Linked DNA regions of Callithrix jacchus. The protein of the gene in region 1 purifies or fractionates together with the protein of each later gene. This does not show direct contact. Links are inferred from orthologs where the notes say so. Each region holds a gene or a part of one and is shown in the gene's direction. Other genes may lie near its edges.

Region 1 (4,025 bases):
GTAGTGAGGTTGCCTTGCCCCTTGTAGGAGTCACTATTGGGTGGGATCCATAAAACCCTGCTATGATCTTCTCCTTTGCTGGGGAATGTGGGGAAACAGTTGCCAACCGAGTATGGAGGCCCTCTGTCAAAACTGAGACAGAAAGAAGCGCTATTTTAACATCTGGTCACAAGTAAATAATGTGGGTTATAATCTGGGCTGTAAGCTGGCCGTGGTGGCTCAGGCTTGTAATTCCAGGTGAGGTGAGCCGATCGCTCGTGCTCAGTTTGAGAGTAGTCTTGGTATAACACAGAAAGACCCTGTCTCCATACAAAAAAAATTTTAAAACCAGGCACCATGGCGCATGTCTGTATGTAATCCCACCTACTCAGAAGGTTGAGGCGGGAGAATCACTTGAACCCAGCAGGAAGAGGTTGCCGCGAGCTGAAATTGCGCCACTGCACTCCAGCTTGGGCAACAGGGCCAGACCCTGTCTCAAAGAAAAAAGAATCTGGGCTCTGACATTTATTTATTTACTCAACCTGTTTTTTTTTTTTTTTTTGAGACGGAGTCTTGCTCTGTCGCCCATGCTGGAATGGAGTGCAGTGGTCTGGTCTCAACTCATTGCAAACTCTGCCTCCAGGTTCAAGGGATTCCCGTGCCACAGCCTCCTGAGTAGCTGGGACTACAGGCACGCGCCACCATGCTCAGCCAGTTTTTTGTATTTTTAGTAGAGTCGGGTTTCACCGTGTTAACCAGGATGGTTTAGATCTCCTGACCTCGTGATCCAGTCGCCTCGGCCTCTGAAAGTGCTGGGATTACAGGCGTGAGCCCCCTCAGCCGGTTTATTTACTCAATCTTTGGCAAAAAAAAATGTGGCAAAGGTGGAATTATACATCATATAGCCTTTTGTGTCTTATGATACTCATTTTTGCATCTGAACGTTGAACCTATATAATATCTAGTTTGTGAGGACATCTGAATCACTTGGGATGGTAATCGGCACCCAATTTGCCTTCAAAAAAAAAATGTTTGCTTCATTTAAGTTGATTTATTTACGAAGGGCGAAAGGACACTGTGCAAGGGCGGGGAGGGTATGTGCGCCTGCGCTCTGCGCCTTCTAGAGGGCAGTCAAGGGCTTCCGGCTGACCCGAGCGGAGATCTCGCGAGACTGTCAGACGTATGGAGAGAGGCCTGGGAGGAAGATTGTGTTCTCGCGAGAACTCTGCCTTTGGGCCCTAGGTTTGTGTGGGGCCGAGTCTCAGTCCATCCAAGGTCCTTTCGGATCTCCCGGAGAGGCATTCGGACCTGGTAAGAACACCATGGGTCGTGCGGAGGCGCGATGACCGCTGACCCGCTGGGCTCGGCTTTGTCCGTCCCTTCGCGACCCGACCGACACCCAGCCCGGCCTGCGTTTTCCTCTCTTTCCCTCCACACGCCGGGCCCGGGCACCTCCTCCTGTCTGCCTGCCGGGCCCGGGCCGGCCTTCTCCCCTTCCCTCCACACGCCGGGCCCGGGCCTATCCTTTCCTCCTGGATCCTCCTCACACCCGGCCCCGGACACCTCCTGCTCCTCGCCGGCCTTCCCCTGGCTTTGGGTGTGACAGTTCCAAGTTTACAATTTCTCTCGCCTCTTGCCTGGGCCTCGGGCGAGGCGCTGTCTGTTTTGCTGTACGGGTCCGGAACATAATCCATTTCTAGCTTGTTAGGTGGAAATGCAAAGAAGATACTTGGTTTTTTGGTCTTTTGTGTGCCAAACACATACCGTCTCATTTAATTCTCCCAATTGCGAAAAGTAGCTTGATTATGTCTGTTTTACAGATGAGAAGAGAGAGGCTTGCTCATTCATTGTTTCATTCCACTAACAATCATTTATTTATTTATTTGGTGCCAGGATGTTGAGGATAGCAATGAAAAAAATGGACACACTCCTTATTCTCATGGAACTAAATTCTTGTGGTGGGAACAACGATAATAGTAATCTCACCTGGCACGGGATTTAATGTGGAATGATGTAATCAAGAATGGCGGAAGTAGAATGACAAAAGTCAGAGTGCTAGTATTTATCTGACCCCAGAGGCAGAACTTTTTTCCCTCTTAACCACACCTTTTTGTGTCACTTTTTTTTCCCCGCCCCCCGAGACGGAGTTTCGCTTGTTACCCAGGCTGGAGTGCAATGGCGCCATCTCGGCTCACTCAACCTCCGCCTCCTGGGTTCAGGCAATTCCTCTGCCTCAGACTCCTGAGTAGCTGGGATTACAGGCATGCGCCACCATGCCCAGCTAATTTTTTGTATTTTTAGTAGAGACAGGGTTTCACCATGTTGACCAGGATGGTCTCGATCTCTTGACCTCGTGATCCACCTGCCTCGGCCTCCCAAAGTGCTGGGATTACAGGCTTGAGCTACCGCGCCCGGCCCTCTTTTTTTTTTGAGATGGAGTTTTGCTCTTGTTGCCCAGGCTGGAGTGCAATAGCACAATCTTGGCTCATTACAACCTCCGCCTCCCAGGTTCAAGCGATTCTCCTGCCTCAGCCTCCTGAGTAGCTGGGATTACAGGCATGCACCACCATGCTTGGCTAATTTTGTATTTTTAGTAGAGACAGGGTTTCGCCATGTTGGACAGGCTGGTTTCGAACTCCTGACCTCTAGTGATCCACCCTCCTCGGCCTCCCAAAGTGCTGGAATTACAGGCATGAGCTGTGTCACTTTGTAATCAGAGTCGGGTTCACCATAGTAACTGCTTTTGGATAGACTTAGCTTTCCACCACGCACTTGGTAATTTCGAACTAAGTTTTAGAGACTCTCGAGTTACTTATTGGAATGAAGATGGCACAGGAAGTCATAGCCCATTTCTGTACCAAGATCCTACTGTGACATTTCCAAACTTTAAAGTGCGTGAGACCATTTGAGAAAGACTTACCCTAATGATGCAATGGAGGAAGATTCATTTGCTACCTTGTGGCTTAGGCAATTTAGTTGGTTTTCTCATTTGAAGATTTGCTAGCTTGCGGATTTGCTCAGATAAGTAAATGAGATAATATATGTAAAGTCTAGCACAATAACATTCCCTTCATATTCTCCTTTCCTCCGTTCCAGAGAGCCTTTGTCCTTGGGTCTCTAAAGAAAGTCCTACCCTTTGAAAGTTTTGTGATAATTTATATCTAATAAATCTCTACAGTTACATTATTACCTTTGTGCAAACAGGTATTTCAGAAATGGAAAACCACATTGAGCTATGGAAGGAAAGGAAGATGTGCTTCTCAAAGGGAGAGAATATATTTTAGAACTACATAGTACTCCTCACCTCTATTTTAATAAATCAGCATAGCTGTGCCAGAATCTCAGGAACCTGTGAAGGGGTTTCATAAAACTCCATAGGATACCCTGACACATATCCCTCCCCTGCCATTTGAGAGCCCCTAGTGTTTTATAATACTTTCCCTCATATAATATTAGCATTCAGAACCAGTCATTTCTACTGCTGATGGACTTTGAACTCAGTCTCTTATTTCAAAGAATTAGTATTTTCTGCCTGGTGAATCTATGATATAAATTCTCCTCTAGGTGGCAGGTTCACCATTGTGTTCTGAGGGACTATCACAGTAGTGTCAGTTTAGGTACTCAATACATAGTTGTTGGATGAATACGTAATACCTTAATACTTCATTACTCTTTCAGCATACCAGGTGTGGTTAGGGACTTTAGACTCAGATCTGGGATTAAATCTTGGCTCTTGTACTTGGAAGTTTGTGACTGTAGGTAATATATTTAACCTTGTCAAGCCTTTTTTTTTTTTTTTTAATTAATGGTGATGATAATAGCCATTTTAATGGTTTGTGAGGCTAAACGAGATAAGTTTTTTAAAAAAGCTTGGCACATAATAGACTATATGTAAATACTGACTGAATTCATTTACTCAATAACTAATTATTTAACACATACTATACAACAGTGAACAAAAAGACAAAGTCCCCGCCATGTGGAACTTACCTTCTAGTGTGTTTTCTGAAGGGAGATCAGAAAATAAATGGTTGCTACATGCCAGA
Region 2 (3,564 bases), on another chromosome or scaffold:
AAAGTCAGGCAGTGCCAAGGGGATGAGGTCAGCCAGTGGCCCCACCCCCATCCGTCCCCCTTGGAGCCCCTTCCTGCGCTGAGCTCACCATGACTCAGCAGCCCAGCAGCCGCTGCCTGCAACAAGGACCCCAGATAGCGGCCCGGCCGGGCATCTGCAGATCCCCTTGGTCAGGGGCTGCCCCGCCGGGGCTGCTCGGAGCGGCTCTCGGTAGGGCAGGACCTGATCTCACACCCCACACCCCAGTGGCTTCAGCTCCCTGCCCAGCGCACCGGCTGCCTCGATCAGGGCGCTTAAGTAGGGTCAATGTTTGTGCCAACTGTCTCCCAGAAATCAGCATGGACCAGGCCCACGTAAAAAATCCGCATCAGCCGACGACAGATGTCTCGTCCATCGGTCCACAACGCAGAGCTTCTCTTGGTGGGCCTGAAGGAGCACATGTCAGCCAAGACACTGGGGCAACTTTAGAGATTGTTTCAGGGCCAAGGAGAATTCTCAAAGTTCTCGAGGCCAGGGGGTTGGCTTCAAAACAGCCCCCAGGAAATGCAGCCCCAGAGACACTGCAAAGCTCGAAAGAGACATTGCATTCCTCCCTGTGTCCACTCCCAGGAAAGCACTGGGCCCCTGAAAGAGCTCCAAGGTATCCCCAAAGGCCCAGCCAATCTTGGGAGGGTCCAGAAGGCTGTCCACCGTTCCAGAAGTCACCCCACCTGGTACAATGCTCCTCCCGGGCTTCCAGCACTGGGTGAACCCCACGGCTCCAGAACAACTGCCCTTTCCAAGCTGCAGAGAATCTCAAAGACGTAAAGATCTCTTCTGGGAGGGCTCCAAAAAAATACAGACTTTGCATCGTAAACCCTCGCCTCTGTAAACCCCAGGGCTCCAGTCCCCCCAACCCTCCGTCTCCCAGAGATCCCCAGGGGTTCACCTACAGCCTTTCAAACTTCCCAAGGATCCCGAGACCCCCTTATCTCGCAGCGCAAACCTAGGACAACTAGAGATCCTCTCTGCGCCTCTGAGGTGCCCCTCTCCAGACTCAAGGTTCCAGAAAAAATCCATGCCCTCGGAAACCCCAGAATCTGACTTACTTTCCCGAGACACCCCAGGACCCCAGGCTCATCAGTTCACAGGGCTCTTAATGCTCCTATACAACTCTCGCTCCCAGAGGGACCCTCACCCCGCTCATGAAACCCTTCACTTCCCTGAAGCAGGCCCAGGGCCCCCAACCCCCATCCCCCATTTCACAACAGCCTCGGGTTACAGGCGCGTGACTTCGCCCTGCTTCGGGTCGGGGGGCTGAGACTCCTTTCTGCTCCGGATTGGTCAGGCACGGCCTTCGGTCCCGCCTCCTGCCACCGCAGATTGGCCGATCGCCCGCCCCGAACGCCCCGCCCCCGAGGGCCCGCGCACTATAAAGGGAGCCGCCCTCGCCACGTCCCATAGCAGTTCGGCGGTCCCGCGGATCTGTCTCTTGCTTCAACAGTGTTTGGACGGAACAGATCCCGGGGACTCTTTCTTCCAGCCTCCGACCGCCCTCCAGTTTCCTCTCCAGTTGCAACCTCCGGGACCATCTTCTCGGTCATCTCCTGCTTCTGGGAACCTGCTAACACCGTTTTTGTGGTTAGCTCCTTTTTGCCAACCAACCATGAGCTCCCAGATTCGTCAGAATTATTCCACCGACGTGGAGGCAGCCGTCAACCACCTGGTCAATGTGTACCTGCAGGCCTCCTACACCTACCTCTCTCTGGTGAGTCCCCGGGACGCCCCTGGCCCTAATTTCCTCCAACTGCGCACCTCCGGCCCTCGGCGCAGGCGCCGGCTTTCTTTGTCCGGTCGGGTAAACAGAGGGCGGAGTTCCCCCTGGCCTCGCCTCTCGCTAACCACTGTTCCCTCCATCTCTTCCCGCAGGGCTACTATTTCGACCGCGATGATGTAGCTCTGGAAGGCGTGAGCCACTTCTTCCGCGAATTGGCCGAGGAGAAACGCGAGGGCTATGAGCGTCTCCTGAAGATGCAAAACCAGCGTGGCGGCCGCGCTCTCTTTCAGGACATCAAGGTAACTGGCTTGAGGGTAATGGACTACATCTCCCAGCAGTCCGTGCGCGCGAGGCGCCTTGGCTTGTGGGCTTAGATGTCGCGTGGGCTTCTGGGAGATTGAGTTCGGTTTTGTAAGCGTTCTTAACAGCTGGAAATGGTGTCTCACGTCGTGCAGTGCCCCCATGATGCGGCAGTCCACACCGCTGCGTGGTCTTCTATAGATGTCGTTGTAAAAGATAGGACGGAGTAGCCGGGCGCGGTGGCACCAGCCTGGCCATCATGGTGAAACCCCATTTAAAAAAAAAAAAAAGGACGGAGTTCGGAGTGATAAATACAAGGGTCACATGTCCTTTTGATCCCCAACGACTCTTGGGAAATGTCACTTTGGTTCTTTGTGCCGGTGTGTGTATTCTGAGCACTTTCCCTCCTGTATAGAAGCCGGCTCAAGATGAGTGGGGTAAAACCCTGGACGCCATGGAAGCCGCCATGGCCCTGGAGAAAAATCTGAACCAGGCTCTTTTGGATCTTCATGCCCTGGGTTCTGCCCGCACGGACCCCCATGTAAGAACCCACTGCATCCATCGCTACCCAACCATACCCCTCAAGCCTTGCCTCCCTTTGGGCAGATTTCCTTCAGAGCCACATTTCACACCTGTCACATTTCAATCTGCAGTTGGGAGCTCTCCCTCTTTTCCAGGGACTGGGTTTCTAATTTCTTCCTCTTTTCTCTCAGCTCTGTGACTTCCTGGAGAGTCACTTCCTAGATGAGGAAGTGAAAATCATCAAGAAGATGGGTGACCACCTGACCAACCTCCGCAGGCTGGCCAGCCCACAGGCTGGGCTGGGCGAGTATCTCTTTGAAAGGCTCACTCTCAAGCACGACTAAGAGCCTGCTGAGCCCGGCCACTTAGGAAGGGCCTTTGCAAAGTAACAGCGCTTCTGCCTAAGCCTCTCCCTCCAGCCACTAGGCAGCTTTCTAACTACCCTTACAAGCCTTGGACCAAATGGAAATAAAGCTATTTGAAGCAGCTGGTGGTTTTGTGTGTGGTGTGGTTGGTGCAGAAGATGAGGTGGGATCTGTTCTCATAAAGCTTCTGGCTGGATTGGGATGGCAGCGAAAAAGGCGTTGGCTGCATCTCCGGTTTTCTTATCTGTTCTAAGACAAGAGCTGTCTGTGGGTTATGTTGAGCCTGAGGGTTCTCTGCTTGCCTGGCTGTTAACTGTCCCTACCAGATGGTAGAGATAGAATTCAGGGAGTTGAATTAAGACTCAGGTTGGTCCCTGGAAACAGATCTGTTAGGTCTCAGTAGCCAGAAACAGCCCTATTTAATGGGTGATGGTGAGGCCAGGCATCATGCCAATCTCTTAAATATTGTGTGCCATGGCCGGGTGTGGTGGCTCACACCTGTGATCCCAACACTTTGGGAGGCTAAGGTGGTCGGTCATCTGAAGTCAGGAGTTGAAGACCAGCCTGGCCAACATGGTGAAACCCTGTCTCTGCTAAAAATACCAAAAAGAATAAAAAAAG

What was found. The genes of interacting proteins can lie anywhere in the genome.
Region 2: the proteins of NCOA4 (region 1) and FTL purify together in Homo sapiens (co-immunoprecipitation; 3 studies listed by BioGRID and IntAct, counting the BioPlex papers as one, with this or other methods). This does not show direct contact. The link is inferred for Callithrix jacchus from reciprocal best matches to the Homo sapiens genes NCOA4 and FTL.

The regions. Positions count from the first base shown.
Region 1 is NC_133513.1:38,764,564-38,768,588, forward strand, and holds the start of NCOA4 (nuclear receptor coactivator 4), read left to right. Parts: upstream 1-1,225; 5' UTR 1,226-1,290; intron 1,291-4,025. UniProt on the Homo sapiens protein: Cargo receptor for the autophagic turnover of the iron-binding ferritin complex, playing a central role in iron homeostasis. Acts as an adapter for delivery of ferritin to lysosomes and autophagic degradation of ferritin, a process named ferritinophagy.
Region 2 is NC_133523.1:42,797,853-42,801,416, forward strand, and holds FTL (ferritin light chain), read left to right. Parts: upstream 1-1,441; 5' UTR 1,442-1,645; coding exon 1,646-1,747; intron 1,748-1,908; coding exon 1,909-2,055; intron 2,056-2,471; coding exon 2,472-2,597; intron 2,598-2,769; coding exon 2,770-2,922; 3' UTR 2,923-3,064; downstream 3,065-3,564.